Anolis sagrei: one gene and its partners. The protein of the gene in region 3 interacts with the protein of the main gene of each other region in a pairwise test. Links are inferred from orthologs where the notes say so. Each region holds a gene or a part of one and is shown on either strand. Other genes may lie near its edges.

Evidence for each region.
Region 1: the proteins of ZBED1 (region 3) and LRRC20 interact in binary tests that used the Homo sapiens proteins (3 or more experiments, as listed by UniProt). The two-hybrid records come from large-scale screens. The link is inferred for Anolis sagrei from reciprocal best matches to the Homo sapiens genes ZBED1 and LRRC20.
Region 2: the proteins of ZBED1 (region 3) and EFHC1 interact in binary tests that used the Homo sapiens proteins (3 or more experiments, as listed by UniProt). The two-hybrid records come from large-scale screens. The link is inferred for Anolis sagrei from reciprocal best matches to the Homo sapiens genes ZBED1 and EFHC1.

Annotation. Positions count from the first base shown.
Region 1 is NC_090023.1:175,650,810-175,658,165, reverse strand, and holds the start of LRRC20 (leucine-rich repeat-containing protein 20), read right to left. Parts: upstream 3,104-7,356; 5' UTR 2,908-3,103; intron 2,815-2,907; exon of another isoform or gene 2,719-2,814; intron 1-2,718.
Region 2 is NC_090021.1:150,390,632-150,397,567, reverse strand, and holds the start of EFHC1 (EF-hand domain-containing protein 1), read left to right. Parts: upstream 1-3,880; 5' UTR 3,881-3,961; coding exon 3,962-4,024; intron 4,025-6,936. UniProt on the Homo sapiens protein: Microtubule inner protein (MIP) part of the dynein-decorated doublet microtubules (DMTs) in cilia axoneme, which is required for motile cilia beating.
Region 3 is NC_090023.1:98,069,426-98,076,914, reverse strand, and holds the start of ZBED1 (E3 SUMO-protein ligase ZBED1), read right to left. Parts: upstream 3,051-7,489; 5' UTR 2,970-3,050; intron 1-2,969.

The DNA of each region.
Region 1 (7,356 bases), about 78 Mb from region 3:
CTCAGAACTTTCCTCCAACACCACAGCTCAAAAGCATCTATCTTCCTTCGCTCAGCCTTCCCTAAGGTCCAGCTCTCACATCCATAGGTTACTACAGGGAATACCATGGCTTTGACTAGGCGGATCTTTGCTATATCCCAGGATCTGATCCCAGGTTTTCTGCTTTAAACTGGATATCAGTCTCCGCTGCCAGATAATCTGGGATAAACAGAAAACCTGGGATCAGATACTGAGATATACGGGCTGTCTGGAAGGGCCCCTACACAAATCTGCTGACAAATCCTGCGGTGTTTACGGTACACTCTGCAGAAATTGCTTCAGATGAACATCATAAGACGAAAAAGCAGCCCATTTAGCAAGCCTTGCAAATACCGATTATCAGTATATGTCTAGTTTTTGTACCTATTTTATACAAAAACTATATAATATATATAATAAAAGCTATATTGTATTTCCTATTCTACTGCACTTTGGGGGGGAAGCCTTTTTTTTTGTTTTGTACATGTTTTTCTTAATAAAGTTTTGTAGTTAGTACTACTGGACTCTGGTGTGGTGCTGGGTGAAAAGGTGTCTTAAGGCTAGAGTGCAACAGTGAGGATTGTATACATAAAATGCAAACTTTGTTTAGAAAGTACAATATACACACCCAAATATGTAAACCTGTATGCATGTAATGTATTAGACCTTGAAGATAACATTCACTCAGACTATATATATTTTAGTCAATGTGTAAATACAAACTTGAAAAGCTCTCAAAACTGGGCTCCAGGTGCTACCTGAAAAAAAGTTTCACCCTGTAATATTTATTTTATTTATTTACGGCATTTCTACCCTGCCTTTCTCTACCCTGGCGGGGACTCAAGGCAGCTGACATATAGGCAACCATACGAAGCCATAGGATATGTACAATTATAGACTTTTAAATTAAGTTATAAAATACATTAAAACACTTGTAAAAACATATAAAACAAGAGAAGGAATGAAGGAGAGAAAGAAAGAAGAAAAGAGGGAGGGAAAGAAAAGGTAGGAAAGGAAGGGAAGAGAAGGAAGGAGAGAGAGAAAGAAAGAAGAAAAGAAAAAGAGGGAGGGGAAGAAAAGGTGGGGAAGGAAGGGAAAAGAAGGAAGGAGATAATGAAAGGAGAGGAAGGGAAAGAAAAAAGTGGGGAAGGAAGAGGAAAGAAAGAAGAGAAAGAGGGTGGGAAAGAAAAGGTGGGAAAGGAAGGGAAGAGAAGGAAGGAAGGAGAAAAAGAAAAGAAAGAGGGAGGGAAAGAAGAGGTAGGGAAGGGAAGAGAAGGAAGGAGATAATGAAACAAGAGGAAGGGAAAGAAAAGGTGGGGAAGGAAGAGAAGGAGAGAAAGAAAGAAGAGAAAGAGGAGGGAGGGAAAGAAAAGGTGGGAAAGGAAGGGAAGGGAGGAAGGAGAGAAAGAAAAAGAAAGAAAGAAAAGAAAGAGGGAGGGAGGGAAGGAAGGGAAGGAAGGAGATAATGAAAGAAGAGGAAGAGAAAGAAAGGGTGGGGAAGGAAGAGGAGAGAAAGAAAGAAGAGAAAGAGGGGGGAAAGAAAATGTGGGGAAGGAAGGGAAGAGAAGGAAGGGAGGAGAGAATGAAAGAAGAGGAAGGGAAAGAAAAGGTGGGGAAGGAAGAGAAGGAGAGAAAGAAGAGAAAGAGGGAGGAAGGGAAAGAAAAGATGAGGAAGGAAGGGAAGAGAAGGAAGGAGATAATGAAAGAAGAGGAAGACGAAGGGAAAGAAAAGGTGGGGAAGGAAGGGAAGAGAAGGAAGGAAGGAGATAATGAAAAAAGAGGAAGGGGAAGAAAAGGTGGGGAAGGAAGAGGAGAGAAAGAAAGAAGAGAAAGAGCATGGGAAAGAAAAGGTGGGGAAGGAAGGGGAGAGAGGGAAGGAAGGAGAGAAAGAAAGAAAGAACGAAAAGAAAGACGGAGGGAAAGAAGAGGTAGGGAAGGAAAGGAAGAAAAGGAAGGAGAATGAAACAAGAGGAAGGGAAAGAAAATGTGGGGAAGGAAGAGAAGGAGAGAAAGAAAGAAGAGAAAGAGGAGGGAGGGAAAGAAAAGGTGGGAAAGGAAGGGAAGGGAGGAAGGAGAGAAAGAAAAAGAAAGAAAGAAAAGAAAGAGGGAAGGACGGACGGAAAGAAGAGGGAGGGAAGGAAGGGAAGAAAGGAAGGAGATAATGAAAGAAGAGGAAGGGAAAGAAAGGGTGGGGAAGGAAGAGGAGAGAAAGAAAGAAAGAGGGAGGGGAGAAAGAAAGAAGAGGGTGGGGAAGGAAGGGAAGAGAAGGAAATAATGAAAAAAGAGGAAGGGAAAGAAAAGGTTGGGAAGGAAGAGGAGAGAAAGAAAGAAGAGAAAGAGGGAGGGAAAGAAAAGGCGAGGAAGGAAGGGGAGAGAGGGAAGGAAGGAGAGAAAGAATGAACGAAAAGAAAGAGGGAGGGAAAGAAGAGGCAGGGAAGGGAAGAGAAGGAAGGAGAGAAAGAAAAAAGAGAAAGAGGGAGGGAAGGTTTGCCACAGCAACGCATGGCAGGTACAGCTAGTGTAATATAAAATATATAATTATAATATCATATTATTAGTAGTAGTAGGATTATATTGTATTGCATTCCAATATTATGAATATTATATCTATATCTATGGCAGACATCCTCAGAGGCCCTCAGGCGAAACGTCAGGAGAGAATGCTTCTAGAACTGGGCCACATCAGCCCGAAAGACCTACAACAACCCAGTTTAAGTGGGGTTCTTCCGGTCGCCTGGTGTTCTTCCGGTCCCCGCGAGGGCAGCGCCATCTCGCCGGCCTCTTCCTCCTCTTTACTGCGCATGCGTCAGTCTGGCTGGTGGGCACGCGCCTCTAGCTGAGCGCGAGCCTCCTTAGGCTTCGGGTTTGTGGCGCGCGGCGTGCTCTTACCCGGAACACAAGCGCGACGGCGGCCTTTCCTTGCTGGTCAGCCTCTGAGCCTCGGGGCGAGTCAGGCGGAGCCTCGGAGGCCTGCCCTCCTGGCCATGGCTGAAGAGCGGCAACAGCTGGCTCTCCCTTCGGTGAATTGAGACGGAGGAAACCCCGGGAAGGAGAACCAGCTTCTCCAGAGCCAATCCGTGGAGGGAAAAAGCGCCCTCTGGTGTTGCCTAGGAGACAACCCCATCTGACATGTATCTGCTACACCACGCATGGGCAAACTGCCTTGATTCTTGCAGGTCTGGGCAAACTTCAGCCCTCCTGGTGTTTTGGACTTCAACTCCCACAATTCCTAGCAGCCAGTAGGCTGGGATGTTGTAGGTTTTTTTCGGGCTATATAGCCATGTTCTAGAGCAGTGTTTCTCAACCTGGGAGTCGGGACCCCTATGGGGGTCGCAAGGGGGTGCCAGAGGGGTCACCAAAGACCATCAGAAAACATAGTATTATCTGTTGGTCATGGGGGTTCTGTGTGGAAAGTTTGGTCCAATTCTATCTGAGAGGTTCAGAATGCAATTTCATTGTGGGTGAACTATAAATCCCAACAACTACAACTCCCAAATGGCAAGGTCTATTTTCTCCAAACTCTACCAGTGTTCACATTTGGGCATATTGAGTATTTCTGCCAAGTTTGATCCAGATCCATCATTGCTTGAGTCTACAGTCTGGATATAGGTGAACAACAACTCCAAAAACTCAAGGTCAATGTCCACCAGACCTTCCCAGTATTTTCTCTTGGTCATGGGAATTCTGTGTGCCACGTTTGATTCAATTCCATCATTGGTGGAGTTCAAAAAGCTCTTTGATTGTAGGTGAACTATAAATCCCAGCAACTCCAGCACTACCAAATGACAAAATCAATCACCCTTAACCCCACCAGTATTCAATTTTGGGCGTATCAGGTATTTGTGCCAAATTAAGTCCAGTTACTGAAAATACATTCATAACAGTAGCAAAATGACAGTAATGAAGTAGCAATGAAAAGAATGTTATGTTTGGGGGTCACCACAACATGAGGACCTGTACTAAGGGGTCGCGGCATTAGGAAGGTTGAGAACTACTGTTCTAGAGGCATTCTCTCCTGACGTTTTGCCTGCATCTATGGCAAGCATCCTCAGAGGTAGTGAGGTCTGTTGGAACTAGGAAAAGGGTTTATATATCTGTGGAATGACCTGAGTGGGACAAAGAAATCTTGTCTGTTGGAGCTAGATGTGAATGTTTCAACTGACCACCTTGATTAGCATTTGATGGCTGTTCCTGGGGCAGTCTTTTGCTGAGAGGTGATTAGATGTCCCTGATTGTACAGACCCACCAAGAAAATCCAACAAATGCTACGTTCAGCAAAGGACAAGAGGGATCCTCTCACTTCTGCAGGAGTCTACCTTATACTATAATATAAAAATGTGTTCCTGAATGAAATGCATACAACAAAAATACCACTTGTATAACATAAACAATAATATAATTCAACAACAGTATATAAACATGCTGCACTGTTAACCTCACAGCGACAACAAACAATATAGTGCAAATTTTTAGTAAAGTCGTATTTTCTTGTAAGTAGCTTGTGGATCAGCCATCCACGACCGGTTTCGGCCTACCTCAGGCCTTCCTCTGGTGGACTGAAATTAATGTACAAATCAATATTTTACTCCAGTAGCATACATATAGAAAATCTGTATCATTAAATATCATGAGTTACAACACACTTAAGTACTTAGAAAGTTATACACTTGAACAAATTCTCCTCAGGGGATACAGATATTTTTGAGTCAGTGGTATCTACATCAAAGGAACGAAATGTGGCTATGAGAGTTTGAAAATTACTATGTTTAAAATGATTATATTGTAGAAATACTTAATATTCAAGTATTTTACATATTAAGAAATTAGTAAAGTCTTCACACTTGTTATTACATCAATATTTGTTGAACATATCCATTAAATACCATAAGTTACAACACATTTGAGTACTTACAAAATTATATACTTGAGAGTTTGTTCTCTTCAGGAGATACAGATTTTTTTAGCTCAGTAGTATCTACATAAAAGGAACGAAATGTGGCTATGAAAGTTTGAAAATTACTATGTTAAAAATGATTATTTTGTAGTCTACTGTATACCATGCAGCTGTGGACAAGTCTACATAAGGACCACCAAACGCAGCTTTGCCCAAACACCAATCAAGGAACATGAAAGGCACTGCAGACTACTTCAACCAGAGAAGTCAGCCATAGCAGAGCACCTGATGAACCAACCTGGACACAGCATGTTATTTGAGAACACAGAAATGCTGGACCACTCTCACAACCATCATGCCAGACTACACAGAGAAGCCATCAAAATCCACAAGCATGTGGACAATTTCAACAGAAAGGAGGAAACCATAAAAATGAACAAAATCTGGCTACCCATATTAAAAAACCTCTAAAATTACAACAGCAAAACAGAGGTGAAACATTCACACCTAGCTCCAACAGACAAGAGTTCTTTGCCCCACCCTAGTCATTCCACAGATATATAAAACCACTTTCCTAGTTCCCATAGATCTCACTACCTCTGAGGATGCTTGCCATAGATGCAGGTGAAACGTCAGGAGAGAATGCCTCTAGAACATGGCCATATATCCCGAAAAAAACTACAACAACCCAGTACTCAATAGCAGACTGGCAGCCAATGGAGCTTTAAACAGTAAAAAAAACAAAAAACAGTATTAATAGCCGTAACATCATTCCAGTCAATTCCATATTCAATTCCATGTCAAAGTGCTATCTATGTCTGTTGTCCAAAAGCCTGATCCCAGAACCACGACTTCAATTTCTTCCTAAATGACAGGAGGGACGGAGCCAATCTTACTTCAGTGGGAAGCAAGTACCACAGGTGGGGGCCACAGCCGAGAAGGCCCTGTCTCTTGTCCCTATGTACTATGATAATAATATATTGTATTTACTTTTTACTTGTAAACTGCTTTGAGTCCCCTTCAGGGTGAGAAGGGCGGCATATAAATGTCATAAATAAATAAATATTTACTTATCAGTGTGGGGAAAAAAACCAAAGTGCTTTGGTCTCCAAGCATTTCAGATACTCAACCTGTATTTTGCAGGATGGTACGGTGCATATTACTGAGAGGAAAATTGAGTGTAAAAGCATTTAGAAATGGCACTACTTATAGACCCACCTCTCACAACCAGCTCAGGATTGAACTTCATTCCTGCGAAGGGGTAGAACCAGCTTCTCAGAGGTTGCACCAAGGGCATATAGTCCTGCTTGGGCTAAGATTTCTAAAATTGGGGATATGAGGGAAGCATATGGTCTGCCTGTGCTGTAAGCAGACATTGCTTTGCATGTGTGAAGCCTTCCTGCTGATTTTCCCCTGTTAAGCTTTTGAACGGTACTGAGATCCTGCCAAAGCAACAGAGGTAGATGCAATTAACCAGAGTTAGGAGTTGTTTTATTAATGAAGGGCTAAGCTAACTTTGACAGAATATGCATAAGAGAGAGTTCAACAGCTTTATCTCATAACATCCCTTCTTTCATCCAACTGCTTTGAGGGACAGAAGCCATCTCTTTATTACAGAGCAACTCAACTTTGTAGATGCCAGATCTCATCTGATTCATGAAAGATTAAAATGCCTTTGTTCAGAGGCTGCACTTGACAATCATTTGCAAAGCAAACACACCACCGACCTATTTAGGAGTCTTCTAAAAACTTTCTAAGGACACATTACTATCTGATGGGTTCTTTGCCACTTTCCTTGGCATGAGTTGATTGGTTACAGTTTGCTCAATAATAGGGGTGTGCAATCTTTGTTTTTAAATTGTAAGTCATATGTAATTAATAGATTTTGTATATATGAACAGATATTAAGGATGCTTGCCATAGATGCAGGCAAAACGTCAGGAGAGAATGCCTCTAGGCCATGGCCATATAGCCTGAAAAAACCTACAACAACACAGATATTAAGAAACAGGGCTCCCATGCAAAAACTTCAGAATCAAAACTCACCCAATTTCATTTGAATTTTGTAATGCATGGAAGTCAGACTCATTTTTAGCACAAGCAAAATGTCAAAACTTTTTTTAAAATCCCCAAAATCAGTAGATGTGTGAATATTTCTGAAACTTGAGGGGATAATCTGTTATCTTGTGTCATTGTATAGAAAATTCAAGGAGATAGCTCTTGTAGTTTTTTTAAAAAAATCTTTGTAAAAACATTGGAAATTCCTTGAAAATCCATGGATGAGTGAAACATTCTGAAACTTGATGGGCTAACAGTGGTAAATGTGTCCTTTAATCATAGCAAGTTTTGTGCAAATAACTCTAACAATGAGGGATACAGGATTTCCCCATTGGCACAATTACTTAACGAAAAAGGAGTTAACTCATCAAAGTTACGATACGGAC
Region 2 (6,936 bases), on a different chromosome or scaffold from region 3:
CTCCCCCAGGGGGACTCGGTGAGGCTTACCTGTCCGAACGTATTCTCCCCTATGAACCATCTAGGTTGTTAAGATCGTCTGGAGGGGCCCTGCTCTCGGTCCCACTGGCCGCACAAGCGCGTCTGGTGGGGACGAGGGACAGGGCCTTCTCGGTGGTGGCCCCTCAACTCTGGAACTCTCTCCCACTGGAGATTAGGACTGCTCCCTCCATTCTGACGTTCAGAAAACGGGTGAAAACCTGGCTATGGAATTTGGCTTTTGACTAGTCAATCAATATTTCTGCGTTTGGTTGGATGACGACGAATGACGAACAACAAATTTATTATGACGACTGACCATTGTTATTATGTGATTGCATTTTGCTGTTTTAACGTTTTAATGTGAATATGTTATATGATGTTTTTAACTTTTGTTTTGTGATATTACTGTTGGAAACCGGCCCGAGTCCCCCGATGGAGGGGAGAAGACCGGTATACAAAATTGTTGCTAAATAATAAATAAATAAATTACATGAGGCCACGCCCATCAGTATAGGTAAAGGTAAAGATAGTCCCCTGACATTAAGTCCAGTCATGTCTGACTCTGGGGTGTGGTGCTCATCTCCATTTCTAAGCCGAAGAGCCAGCGTTGTCCGTAGACACCTCCAAGGTCATGTGGCCGGCATGACTGCATGGAGCGCCGTTACCTTCCCACCGGAGCGGTACCTATTGATCTACTCACATTTGCATGTTTTCGAACTGCTAGGTTGGCAGAAGCTAGGGCTGACAGCGGAAGCTCACGCCGCTCCCTGGAATCGAACCTGCGACCTTTTGGTCAACAAGCTCAGCAGCTCAGTGCTTTAACCCACTGCGCCATCAGTATAGTAAACACAATATAACACAAAAGCATAACAAAACCAAAACATAAAATGCAAAACCAATATAATAAGTAACACAGCAAAATCCAATCAAATTCTCAAAACATTAGAAACCACCCTCCATCGAGTGCATTTCAGGCCCCTTCGACATTGCCTTATAACCCAGATTATCAAAATACATAATCCACATTACGTGCTTTGAATTGGAATCAAGACTCTACACTGCCAGTTCAAAGTAAATAATCTGAATTTTATATGGCCCCTTCCACACAGCTGAATAAAATCCCACATTATCTGCTTTGAACTGGAATAGATGGCAGCGTGGACTCAAATAACCCAGTTCAAAGCAGATATTGTGGGATTTTCTGCCTTGAAATTCTGGGTTATAGGGCTGTGTAGAAGGGCCCCCAGTCTCCCTATGGGTGGCTCGACTACAAAGTAATGACGATGAAGCTTGCAGTATTAGAAATGGGTAAAGGAAGCCTGAGGAAGGCTGCATCAATGCCTCGGTCGCGCCAAACGCCCTCCTCCTTTGCCGGAAAGGACTGCTCTCTACATGGCGCTGGGAGGCTTCCTTTCCCGCCTTTTTCTCTGCGCTCACCTCGTCGTCCAAGAAATCCAGGTAGTCTCGTTGAGCCTCTCGCAGCTCCGCGTCATCCAGCGTGGCTGCCGTGGGGAGAGCCATGGCGACAGGAAACGATTATTCTTTCCTTGGGCGAGAAGTCACTTGTGCTCAGCTCCTCCAAGGCCCTTGGCGCGAAAACCCGAGACTTTTTCCCGCCAAGGGAGGAGCCCAGGCGCCGCCTCGAACGTCGCCGCCCCCCCATTGGTCTAGGCAACGGGACTGCCGGCCAATGGCGTGCCACAAATCGGAAACGCTCCCGCCTTTCGAAAGAGTAGCCAATTGGTGAATCTGTATCTTTAAGGTTAGCTGCTCTTTTAACTGTAGCTATGCCAAACTGGAGGTCCTCCCACACAGCTGTATAACATCCACATTGAACTGGGTTATATAGCAGACAACCCAGGGCCCTTCCACACAGCCCTATATCCCAGGATATCAAGACAGAAAATCCCACAATATCTGCTTTGAACTGGGTTTTCTGAGTCCACACTCAGATAATGTGGGTTTTTCTGCCTTGATATTCTGAGATATAGGGCTGTGTGGAAGGGCCCCCAGTTCAAAGCAGATATTGTGGGATTTTCTGCCTTGACATTCTGTGTTATAGGACTGTGTGGAAAGGCCCTGGGTTATCCACATAGCCCTATATCCCAGAATGTCAAGGCAGAGTAACCTACAATATCTACTTTGAATTGGATTATCTGAGTCCACACTGCCATATTGTTGTTGTTCATTCGTTCAGTCATTTCAGACTCTTCATGACCTCCTGGACCAGCTCACGCCAGAGCTCCCTGTGGGCCGTCACCACTCCAGCTCCTTCAAGGTCAATCTAGTTACTTCAAGGATGCCATCCATCCATCTTGCCCTTGGTCGGCCCCTCTTCCTTTTTCCTTCCATTTCCCCCAGCATCATTGTCTTCTCTAAGCTTTCCTGTCTCCTCATGATGTGGCCAAAGTACTTCATCTTTGCCTCTACTAGTATTTATTTATTATTTATTAACTTTATTTGTACCCTGCTAGCATCTCCCCAAGGGACTCGGTGCGGCTTACATGAGGCCAAGCCCAAACACAATAATACAAGCAATAAAACATCAATACAAGCAATTAAAAACATAGACAATAAAATACACAACATTATCAAAAAAGCAGCACATAATTAAAACAGTGGGAAGGCCAAATGTAGAGTTAAAATTGGAAATAATGCTGGGCAATGAACGAAAGGTGAGACTGGTGTTTGTGGGGGCATACAAGCAGACTCGGGGAAATGTAAAGTGCTTTGGAGGACAAAGTGCTATGGGATCATTATCCTTCCCTCCAATGAGCAGTCGGGCTCTATTTCCTGGAGTATGGACTGGTTGGATCTTCTCGTGGTCCAAGGCACTCTCAGCACTTTCCTCCAACACCACAGTTCAAAAGCATCTATCTTCCTTCGCTCAGCCTTCCCTAAGGTCCAGCTCTCACATCCGTAGGTTACTACAGGGAATACCATGGCTTTGACTAGGCGGATCTTTGTTGCCAGTCTGATGTCTCTACTCTTCACTATTTTATCGAGATTGGACATTGCTCTCCTCCCAAGAAGTGTCTCCTGATTTCCTGGCTGCAGTCTGCATTTGCAGTAATCTTTGCATCTAGAAATATAAACTCTGTCACTGACTCTATGTTTCCCCCCTCTATTTCCCAGTTGTCAATCATTCTTGTTGCCATAATCTTGTTTTTTTTTTTTAATGTTTAACTGCAACCCAGCTTTTGCACTTTCTTCTTTCACCTTGGTTAGAAGGCTCCCCAGCTCCTCCTCACTTTCGGCCATCAAAGTGGTGTCATCTGCATATCTAAGGTTGTTAATGTCTCTTCCAGCAATTTGACCCCAGCCTTGCATTTGTCAAGCCCTACATTGCCATATATCCCAGTTCTACACAGATAATGTGGGATTTGTGTGTTGTCTTATTGATAATGTTGTATATTTTATTGTCTATGTTTTGTTTTAATTGCTTGTATTGTTGTTTTGCTTGTACTGTTGTATTCGGGCTTGGCCTCATGTAAGCCGCACCGAGTCCCTTGGGGAGATGGTAGCGGGGTACAAATAAATATTATTATTATTATTATTATTATTATTATTATTATTTTATTCAGCTGTGTGGAAAGGGCCCCAGAATATCAAGGCAGAAAATCCCTCAATATCTGCCTTGAAGTGGATTGAGTCCACACTGCCATATGTCCCAGTTCAAAGCAGATAATGTGGGATTTTATTCACCTAGAAGGGACCTTTGAATATAGCAGAAATTGCTTAAGCAAATGGAGCTTCCGGGTGGTTGCAGGAAGTGTTGGCGGCGAGACAGGAAAACTGGCGAGGCGCGCGCTGTCTAGTCTAAGGGAGGGCGCATGCGCACTCAGGATGTGTATCGTTACCAAGGAAACGGGGGGAGCGCGTGGACATGGCAACCCGCAGCCGCCGCGCGACAGTCCCTCCGCTGCCGGCTGCCCGCCGCCATGAGTTCCCAGCCGGTGCAAGGGCTTCCCATCCTGCCAGGCTCGACGTTTCGAGACCCCACGGTGAGGATACCTAAAAGCCTAGCTCTCTGCCTCGCCGCCCCGTTTCCCGCGGCGGGGCGGCGTTTCTCCCTTCAGGAGCCGCCAGAAGGCCCAAAGGGAGGCGCGGCGAGAGAAGCCCCTCAGCTCTGTCTGAGCATGCGCAGTTTGAACATCCCTGGGACAGAAGGGGAAACCACTGAGGAAATACGGACAAGCTCGTTTGCGCGAGCTTGAAGGCACAGAACACACAGCTTTATGGCCGGGGACATGGTTTGTTCTTGTGTGCCTTGAGAGAGTCCTCCACTAGTGTCACTCCCCACTACTGCTGCATTCTAATAGCTCATTGGCATATGTAGTCTGACCTCTCAGCTGTGTAACATGAGGTACACTTACTTACCATGTATAAATATGTGAGAGGAAGTCACAGGGAGGAGGGAGCAAGCTTGTTTTCTGCTTCCTTGGAGACTAGGACGGGGAACAATGGCTTCAAACTACAAGAGAGGAGATTCCATCTGAACATTAGGAAGAACTTGTGAGACTGACTGTGAGAGCCGTTCAGCGGTGGAACTCTCTGCCCCGGAGTGTGGTGGAGGCTCCTTCTTTGGAAGCTTTTAAACAGAGGCTGGATGGCCATCTGTCAGAGGTGCTTTGAATGCAATATTCCTGCTTCTTTGCAGGGGGTTGGACTGGATGGCCCGTAAGGTCTCTTCCAACTCTAGGATTCTATGATTCTACTTAGGCAATCCCTCATAGTCTGTGGATGATGGTCCTCCAAGATTGGTGTGCTGGCGGTGGGTCCGTAGGTGGCTGTGGAGCCCTATTCTTGACCTGCATCGTCTCCCGCAGTGAGGGCATCGGTTTCCAGGTGGAAGGCGGTCCGAGTCAAAGTTGGCTTGATACCCTTTCTTCTTCGCACGTTTCTCCCTTTCGCCCTCCATCTGTGCCTCTTCAAATTCTGCAGCACAGCTGGTCACAGCTGACCTCCAGCAGGGGCACTCAAGGGCCAGGGCTTCCCAGTTCTTAGTGTCTATGCCAGAGTTTTAAAGGTTGGCTTTCAGCCCATCCTTAAATCTCTTTTCCTGCCCACCAACATTCCTTTATCCGTTCTTGAGTTCGGAGTAGAGCAACTGCTTTGGGAGACGGTGGTCGGGCATCTGGACAACGGATGTTGATGGCGGAGGACCATCACTTCAATGCTGGTGGTCTTTGCTTCTTTCAGCACGCTGACATTTGTCCACTTGTCTTCCCAAGAGATTTGCAGGATTTTCCGGAGGCAGCGCTGATGGAATCGTTCCAGGAGTTGCATGTGACGTCTGTAGACAGTCCATGTTTCACTAGCATATAGCAGGGTTGGGAGGACAATAGCTTTATAAACAAGCACCTTGGTATCCCTACAGATGTCCCAGTCCTCAAACACTCTCTGTTTCATTCGGGAAAATGCTGCACTCGCAGAGCTCAGGAAATGTTGAATTTCAGTGTCAGTGTTGACTTTGGTGGAGAGGTGCCTGTCAAGGTAGTGGAAATGGTCAACATTTTCTAATGTTACACCATTAAGTTGTATTTCTGGCATTGGAGAGGGATTAAGTTGTATTTATGGCATTAGAGAGGCATTTGGTGACTGCTGGAAAAGCACCTTGGTTTTCTCAATGTTTAATGACAAGCTGAGCTGCTCGTATGCTTCTGCAAAGGTGTTTAGAGTGGCTTGTAGGTCTTCTTCTGAATGCGCACATGAGGTACTCTACTAGCAACCTCAAAAAAGCACACAATCTCACCACCACAGATAGTTTCATGGTGGGGAAATTGTTATATCATAAGCCTATCTTCAAAAGTTATGACTCATTAGGACAGGCAATAATGTTTCGTAAAGTGTAAGCTAACAGGAAAAGAGACAGACTGCATTATAAATAGATTGACTCTATTAAAGAGACCATAGCGCTGAGTTTGGAAGACCTGAGCAGGACAGTCATGGATCTTGGGGCCTGTCATTCATAGGGTCACCATAAGTCAAAGTGAGCTTGATGGCTCACTATTTAACATACTTAGAGGTTCCTATTCATCGGAGGGCTTTCACCCTGGCCCGATGCCACGCTCTCCCATCAGCTGTACTCGAAGGCCGCTACCGGAAGATCCCTTTCCCAGAGAGACTCTGCCCCTGTGACTCGGGTCATGTAGAAACAATAGAACATGTGCTCCTTCAGTGCCCGTTCTACAGGGATACCCATGCCAGGCTTATCTTACCCCTGATAGACAAGCACCCAGGCCATTCAGGACAATTTTATACCTCCCTGCTACTTGCGGATACTAATTCAGCTACAACCTACAATGTCGCAAAGTTTTGTGCAGCAGCATACAAAATCCGCCAGGGAATGACTAGTTCCAAAAGTCAACTGTGTGTCCAGTAATCGTCTTCCCTGAATCTACAATTTGGTGATGGATCTGGACATTGTATGATTTTACCCTGTTTCCCCTTCTGCTCCCTCACCCATATTGTGTTTTTAGTAGTTGTATTTATATTTTTAATGTACCAAACATGCCAGGTTTGTAAGGAAACGTGACACTATTTCCTGTGCTGGTCAATGACCGAAATAAATGTTTTGATTGATTTGGTTTTGAGCTTGATGGCAATTAATAACAAACTCTTATCAAAAGGCAAAATATAACAAAGCTTACAGCGTAGTGTCGAAAGCTTTCATGGCCAGAATCACTGGGTAGTTGTAGGTTTTTTCAGGCTATATGTTCATGTTCTAGAAGCATTCTCTCCTAATGTTTTTCCTGTATCTATGGCAGCATCCTCAGAAGTTGTGACCTCTCTACCTCTGAGGATGCAGGCAAAACATCAGAAGAGAATGCCTCTAGAACATGGCCATATAGCCCGAAAAAACCTACAACAACCCAAAGCTTACAGCTTTACAATCAAATAGGATACTTTTTTT
Region 3 (7,489 bases):
TCTAGGATAAACAGAATACCTGGGATCAGATCCTGGAATATAGAGCCTGTCTAGAAGGTCCCTAAGTAGCCATGTAGTCCCTAAGTAGCCATTCAGTTTCCTGTAGGATTTGATATATTGGGACCAGGCTAGATTATTTGTTAAGCTTTTCCTATCTTGTTCTTGTTGTGCAACTTTGACCAGAACCACAGTTACACAGACAATGCAACCACTGCCTTGTTGTTCCTATGTAACTTCAAGTCATTTCCAACTTATGGTGACTCTGCTTTTGCCTATCTCTGAGTTTTAGAGTTACCAAAAATCAACCCACAGATTTCTATGAGTAAACTCAGGTCTTCAGTGCCATAATTCTAGCATTCAAATTACTACACTGGCTCTTTATTATTCCTATGAGATTAATACAATTTCTTCCAACCAAGTGTCTGATTCTATTCCAATTCCTTAGTAACTGAGTGTAGATGTTTACCTTGAACTTCTCACCAACTCCAAAAGATTATGTCTTACATTTATTTTCCAATTCCCTCCAAGGGACTGAAAACAGCATATATTCTTTCTTCACACACCCCATCTCCACCCAACCTAATATTAAAGCACTGGAGTGGAAAGCTTCAATTTCAGCTTTCCATATTAAGCGGAGGAGTACAGTGATATCCTTGCTTTTGCAAAAAGCAATCTTTCACCAGGTTACAACTCTTGCCTATTTTACTTCTGGCAAATGTCTTGGAAGCTAATAGCATGGAAACCACAATCTGTCACTAATACCTGCTATTTAAAAACTTATTACACACACACACAATCAAACAATCAATGTCCACGAATGCAATTGACAGACTTTTCAATGATGTCAAAGGTGAAAGTGCATACAGTGGGTCCTTGGTATCTGCTGGCGTTCCAAGAACCCTTGTGGATACAAAAATCCATAGAAGCTCATTATATATAATCGTGTATTAAAATATTGTCCCTTATATGCAACAGCAAAATCACAATTTGATTTTTGGATTTTTTTTTTTAAAAAAAAATCTGTGGATGGTTCAATTGCGGATGCAGAATCTATGGATATAGAGGGCCAACTATATATAGGTATGGTTAGCGACAAACATGGAGCCCCTGGTGGCACAATGGGTTAAACCCTTGTGTCAGCAGGACAGAAGACCAACAGGTTAGAGGTTCAAATCTGGGGAGAACTCTCTCTGTTAGCTCCAGCTCCCTATGTGGGGACATGAGAAAAGCCTCCCACAAGGATGGTAAAACATCAAAACATCCAGGTGTCTCCTGGGCAACGTCCTTGCAGGCAGCCAATTCTTTCACACCAGAAGTGACTTGGAGTTTCTCAAGTTGCTCCTGACATGAAAAAAGTGACAAACATAGATAGCATTTTCTTTAGAGTAATAAGGCCTAGTGAGATTACTGGATCACTCTTCAATAGACAGGTACCCAAGGGAACCAAAGTAGTATCAGGATTTGAATGCTAGAGCAGGACACCAGGAGACCAAAGCTCAACCATGGAAACCTATAGGGTGACCTTAGGTAAGTCATACTCTTTCAACCTCAAAGGAAAGCAATGCCCTGCAAAGCAAAAGAAAAACCTATAATAGGGTCACCATAAGCCAGTCTGCTTGAAGGCATGTGATAACCCAGCATGGTATAGTGCTGAGCCTTCCAAATGGTGTGTCGTGACACATTGGAATGTTGGCTGTAGCGTGTAGGTGTGTAAAGTGAATGAAACAAGAAAGGTGAGTCCATGTGAAATAATCAATAAATCATATATATATATGAGCAAGATTTTCATGATAAGTCATGTCCCCATACATTTCATTATTATAATTTATGTACGTGTTCCGATCTCTTGGTTTAACCCAGGCATGGGCACACTTCGGCCTTCCAGGTGTTTTGGACTTCAACACCCACAATTCAGAACAGCTGGTGCTGAAGTTTGCCCATGCTTGGGTTAACCTCTGGTTTGCTAGTAAAACTGAAGCACTGTGTCGCAAAGCGATGCATGTAGTGCGTCACCAACATAATATCGGAAAGCTCTGGTGCAGTTGTTTGAATATTGAACTAAGGTTGTAACTCCCTCCTCAGTCATGGAAACCCACTAGGTGCCCTTAGGCAAGTCACATGCTCTTAACCTCAGAGGAAAACATGGGCAAATCCCCAAGAACAAGCTCCCATCTATGACCTCTGAGGAAGCTTGCCATAGATGCAGGCGAAACGTCAGGAGAAATGCCTCTAGAACATGGCCATATAGCCCGAAAAAACCCACAAGAACTGAGTGATTCCGGCCATGAAAGCCTTCGACAATACAAGCTCCCATCTGCTTAGTTTTTCCATTGGTCAAAAATGACTTGGAGGCACACAAACAGCAATAACCATGGCAGTTACAAGAAACTTGGATGTAGCTTGAAAACTTTTTGTTTTGCTACATTCACTGTATGTCCACCAAGCTACAACTGAAGTGTAAGCTAGGGGCAGCAGACTGGCAAATGCAACAACCTCAGGGGACCGATAGAGGTTGCGGTTGTATCCCAGGGTTGAAAATCGGTGGCTACAAACAGCCAGCGAAGGCACTGCAACTGAAGAGTCCCAGGGCCCTTCCACACAGCCCTATATCCCAGAATATCAAGGCAGGAAATCCCACATTATCTGAGGGTGAACTGCCTTGGTATTCTGGGATATAGGGCTGTGTGGAAGGGCCCCCAGTAACCAGGAGCCAGAGCCTTGGGCAGGAGCTTGGAGCCCTTTGGCCTCGCCTGGCTCCTGCCACAAGATCTAGGCAGGAAGAGGGAAGCGGATCCCCTCCATTTGCGAGGAGGAGTGTCCTCTGTCCTCTCCCTCCGAGCGCAAATGCTCAACTTTGGCTCCCAACGGTGGAAGGACGCGTGGGGAGGGGAAGAAAGCGAAGCCAGCGAGGCTTCCCTCTCCTAAGCCAAGGCCTCTCCCTCCCAGCCTCTCCGGGGGAGCCTCCTAACCTGCTTTGGAAGGGCAGCCCAGGCGGAAGCGGCGCAAGATCTGGTGCAGGACGAGGCGCGTCGCGGTCCAGTAGAGCCAGAAGGCAGGCAAGGCCAGGGACAATAGCGACATGGCTCCCGCTGCTGCTTTGCTTCGCCTCTTCCGTGCTGCAGAAGGGAAAGGAGCCCAGAGGCACGACGAGGAGGAGGAGGAGGCGGCGCGAGGACGGCACGCCTCCGGGGCTTCAGAGCGCGCGCCTGGCAGCCCTGGCCTCGCCGCGCCCAGAGGAAGCAAAGCAAGGCAAGGCAAGGCAAAGAGGACCGCGCCTCTCCTCCTCCTCCTCCTCGGAGCGACCGGGATTTCCCTGCTATCTGGGCATGTGCAGACTCTGTGCGCAATCTCCTCCCCTCCCACGGAAGACGCACAGAAAAGGGAAGTAAAGCAGAAGATGTGCAGCGACAGAGTTCGATTTTTGGCACAGCAGCAGCTCTAATTATGCACCAGCTTCTGCTTGAAATCATGTGTTTGTTTATTGAAACACCTACAGGCAGTCCCCGAGTTACAAACATCCGACATCCAAACAGCTCAGCGTTAATAAGGGGCGAGACAACAGGAAGGGAGAGAAATCTACCCCCAGGGAGGGAAATTCACTCCTCAAAGAGTTATCGGGGGGAAAGGGGGCCTCGGCTGAAGCTTGCTCACCGATCCTTGTTTCAGAAGCCTTTTTTTTTCTAAATCCAATTATCACAGGGACAGAAAGTGAGGTGAAATCTTCTGAACAGGCGCACACACAACAAAAAAAAAACCCCACAGGGGTGTTAACACTTCCCTATGAACACCACAGGCGTGTTAACTCTTCCATCTATCTAGGGATGGATTTCCCCTCCCCCCCTCCCCCCCCCCCGAGGGTGTGTATTTATGTCTCTGTGTGTATAAAAGCATGTATGTCTCTGTGTGTATAAAAGCAAGCTTTGGATTGCATAGGAAAGGATTAACACCCCTGTGGGTGGGTGTATGTAAGTTTTGGATAGCATAAGGAAAGGTTAACACCCTTGTGATGTTTGTGTGTGCATTTATATACGTGTATGTATGAATATATATGTATGTGTGTAGCTTTGGATAGCATAGGAAAGGGTTAACACCCCTATGGTGTGTGTGTATAAGCTTTGGATAGCATAAGGAAGGGTTAACATCCTTGAGATGTTTGTGTGTGTGTGTGTGTGTGTGTATAAGCTTTGGATAGCATAGGAAAGGGTTAACACCCGTGTGGGGTGTGTGTGTAAGTTTTGGATAGCATAAGGAAAGGTTAACAGGGTTTAGTAAAAAGGCATGCCAAACTTAGGGTACACCTACACTACACATCAATTCATTCATGCAGTGTGTACCACTTTAACTGTTTCGAAATTCTGGGATTTACAAGTGGGTGAAACACCAACTCTGGCAGAGAACGCTAAAGACCTTGCGAAACTACAACTTTCTTGATACCATAGCATTGAGCCATAGCAGTTGCAGTGGTGTCAAACTGCATTCATTCTACACTGTAGATGCACCTGTAAGCACCAGAAAGAAACTGACACTTCTACTGGTGCATAATTGGAGCTACTGCATAAAAACTCTGCCACTGTGCTAATTTCTGCATTACTGATTTTGTGTGATTATAAAATAATAATAATTTATTTCTACCCCGCCACCATCTCCCCAACGGGGAGTCAGGGCGGCTAACATGAAGCCAAGCCCAGCCATTACAACAAATCAAAATAAAATACATACAGCAAATAATAACATCAAATGAAATATAAACAAAGCAAATTAATACAAAACCAAATACAGGAAATGAAATAAAATAATAATGTGCACAGAGGGCTGGGCCAAGTTAAAAAGATAGAATTAAAATATAAAAAACCCTGGGTGAGATGGATGAGTAGGGTAGTATGCCTAGTTAGCGGGGCGGGGGGGGGGGGGGTTCAGGTGAGAGCAGCAATGGGGTGATTATCATTGAAGGGTGAGGTAAAGTGCATCACAGGGAATATTGTGCTGAGCTGGTCATGGTGTAGGTTGTATTCATTCCTCTAAGGCACACTAAACAGCCAGGTTTTTAGGTTTGAAAGGAGATCAGTTAACAGGAGGTCACAGCCATCACAATGCATTCCCAAGTGTATTGGACATCAATTTTGGCTGCTTTGGCCAATGATCAGGGATTCTGGGAGCTGAAGTCCAAAACACTGTAAAGCCATATTTGGGGAGAATGGTTTTACAGACACAGATTTCCCATTCAAGTGAGAGAGGTGTACTTATTCATGTCTAGTCAGAAGTGTCCTATTTGAGGAGAAGGGAGCTCATTGCTATGTGATTGGGCAATGCATTGTTAGTCTTTACATAGAAAGAATTTGGGTTTTTTAAAAATTAGTTAACATTAAAAATAAAGAAGTAGAGAATTAAATGTTGACCATCACACTACTAAGGAGGGAAACAAAGAAAGCAGATGACAAGTGATGACCACAAATGTATAGCCACTCCATGGGTTTAATAGGCAAAGAATACATAAGAGGTGACTTGTCCAGAGTGAATGTATCATTGTTTGTCTCTTCATATGTGTTGAGAGAGAGAGAATATATATATATATATGTATGTATGTTATAACAATGGTGGTCTAAGGCCCAAATTAAGCATCTCACATTTTCAATCAAACTTACTCAAAGCAGGAAAGGATTTTATTAATTCCTAGAAGTCTGGCTGAGCCAATGGTTATGGGTGCATATACATACTGTGTTTTATAAATCTGTGCGGGGGGGGGGGGGGATGATAGGAATAATTGGAGGGGTGTAACAATGCCCACGTGCCACAAACATTGCAAGTTTATGGAAATTCAAACCTCAAAAGCCCACAGTCCTCACTTTCGGGTTTTGTGAGGTGTACGTTAAAAATACATCAGTTGCCCAGTCTTGATATAAATGAACTCACTAGCTGCTATAATTGGTAAACAGTTATAAGAAACAATAACTGTTTACCTAACTGTTTCATTTCTCCTCTTTGCTGAAAATTCCTATTTAAAGAAAGCAGTTATGAATGTGCAAATATATCAAATGTGCAGCGAGATCTCACTGAGAAGGTAAGCCTGTTGGCTCTCACACATTTTTTTTGTTTTGCAAACATCACTCCAGCCTAGGATGTTTTTGGAAGGCTGTTTGAGCAAACAGTAAATGTCAGCTATGAGCTAAAGGGGCCTGGAAGGCCGGTACAAGCTACTAGCACCTGATTTTCTAAAAGGTCATGAACTGCTACCTGTCTTCCCTTCCAATTGATTATGTCTTAATGCAGCTATACAAAGGATAGAAGGCCATACACATGCAAATCTGAAATATACTGCAATTCTGAAGCATCATGATTAAGTAATACCATATTTTCCTGTGAAGCACAGCTTTTCCATCCTTTCCAATCGGATGTCTTCCTGATGTGTTTAATCACAGTTTCCACCATCTAATCACCCAAAAAGCCAGGGTGTATGAGGATGCTGAGAGCTGCTAATTGTGCAAGCTATGTGTACCTACTCTGGGTAGGTTTGCACATCTATAAGAAGCAAGTACATAGCTTGGGAGAGCTCCGTCACTAGAGGTTACATGGCTGTGGTGCCCAGAATTGGACACATTATGTCAGGTGAGGCCTGGCCAAAGCAGAATAGATGGGCACAATTGCTTTCCTTGATCTAGACCAGGCATAGGCAAACTTGGCCCCTTTGGGTGTTTTGGATTTCAACTCCCATAATTCCTAACAGCTGGAGTTGAGTCCAAAACACCCAGAGGGCCCAAGTTTGCTCATGCCTGATCTAGACATGATACTTATTTTCATGCAACCCCAAATCCCACTGTCTTATTAAATTGCTGCATCACACTGTTTCCACATATTCAACTTGTTGTCCCCAAAGACTCCAAAATCTTTTTCACTGGTATTGTTATTCAGCCAGGCATCAGCCCATCCTGTATTAGTGCATTTCATTGTTTTCTGCCAACGTGTAGAATTCTACATTTATTCTTGCTAAAATTCATTTTTGTTAGTTTTGTCCCAGCTCTCTAATCTCTTAAGGTCATTTTGAATTCTGATCCTGTCCTCTGCAATATTTGGTATCCCTCCTAATTTGGTGTAATCTGGAAACTTGACAAGCATGCCCCCTAAAGCATTTCTATGGAAGACCCCAGGGGCCATTCAGTCCAACTTCCTTCTGCCATGGAGGGAAAACATAACAAAGCACCTCCTGAGCGGTGGGAGGGAAATAGTGCTTGGAAGAGAACAAGACAAAGGGAGGGAGACAAGGGAAATGGGCTTTTGGGGGCAAGGGAAGCAAGGAAAAAAACTTTTTGGCAAAAGGGGGCTGAGGGGAAATGGTGATGAGGGAATTCAGAAACAGCCATGTCAGTCTGGAATAGCCATATGCAAAATGATCTTGTAACAACTTAAAGTTTGAGGTAATGAAGTTGGTAGAATAAGCTTAATGATTCTAAGGTGCTACAAGATCCCTTTGAATACTTAGGCCCCTTCTACAATG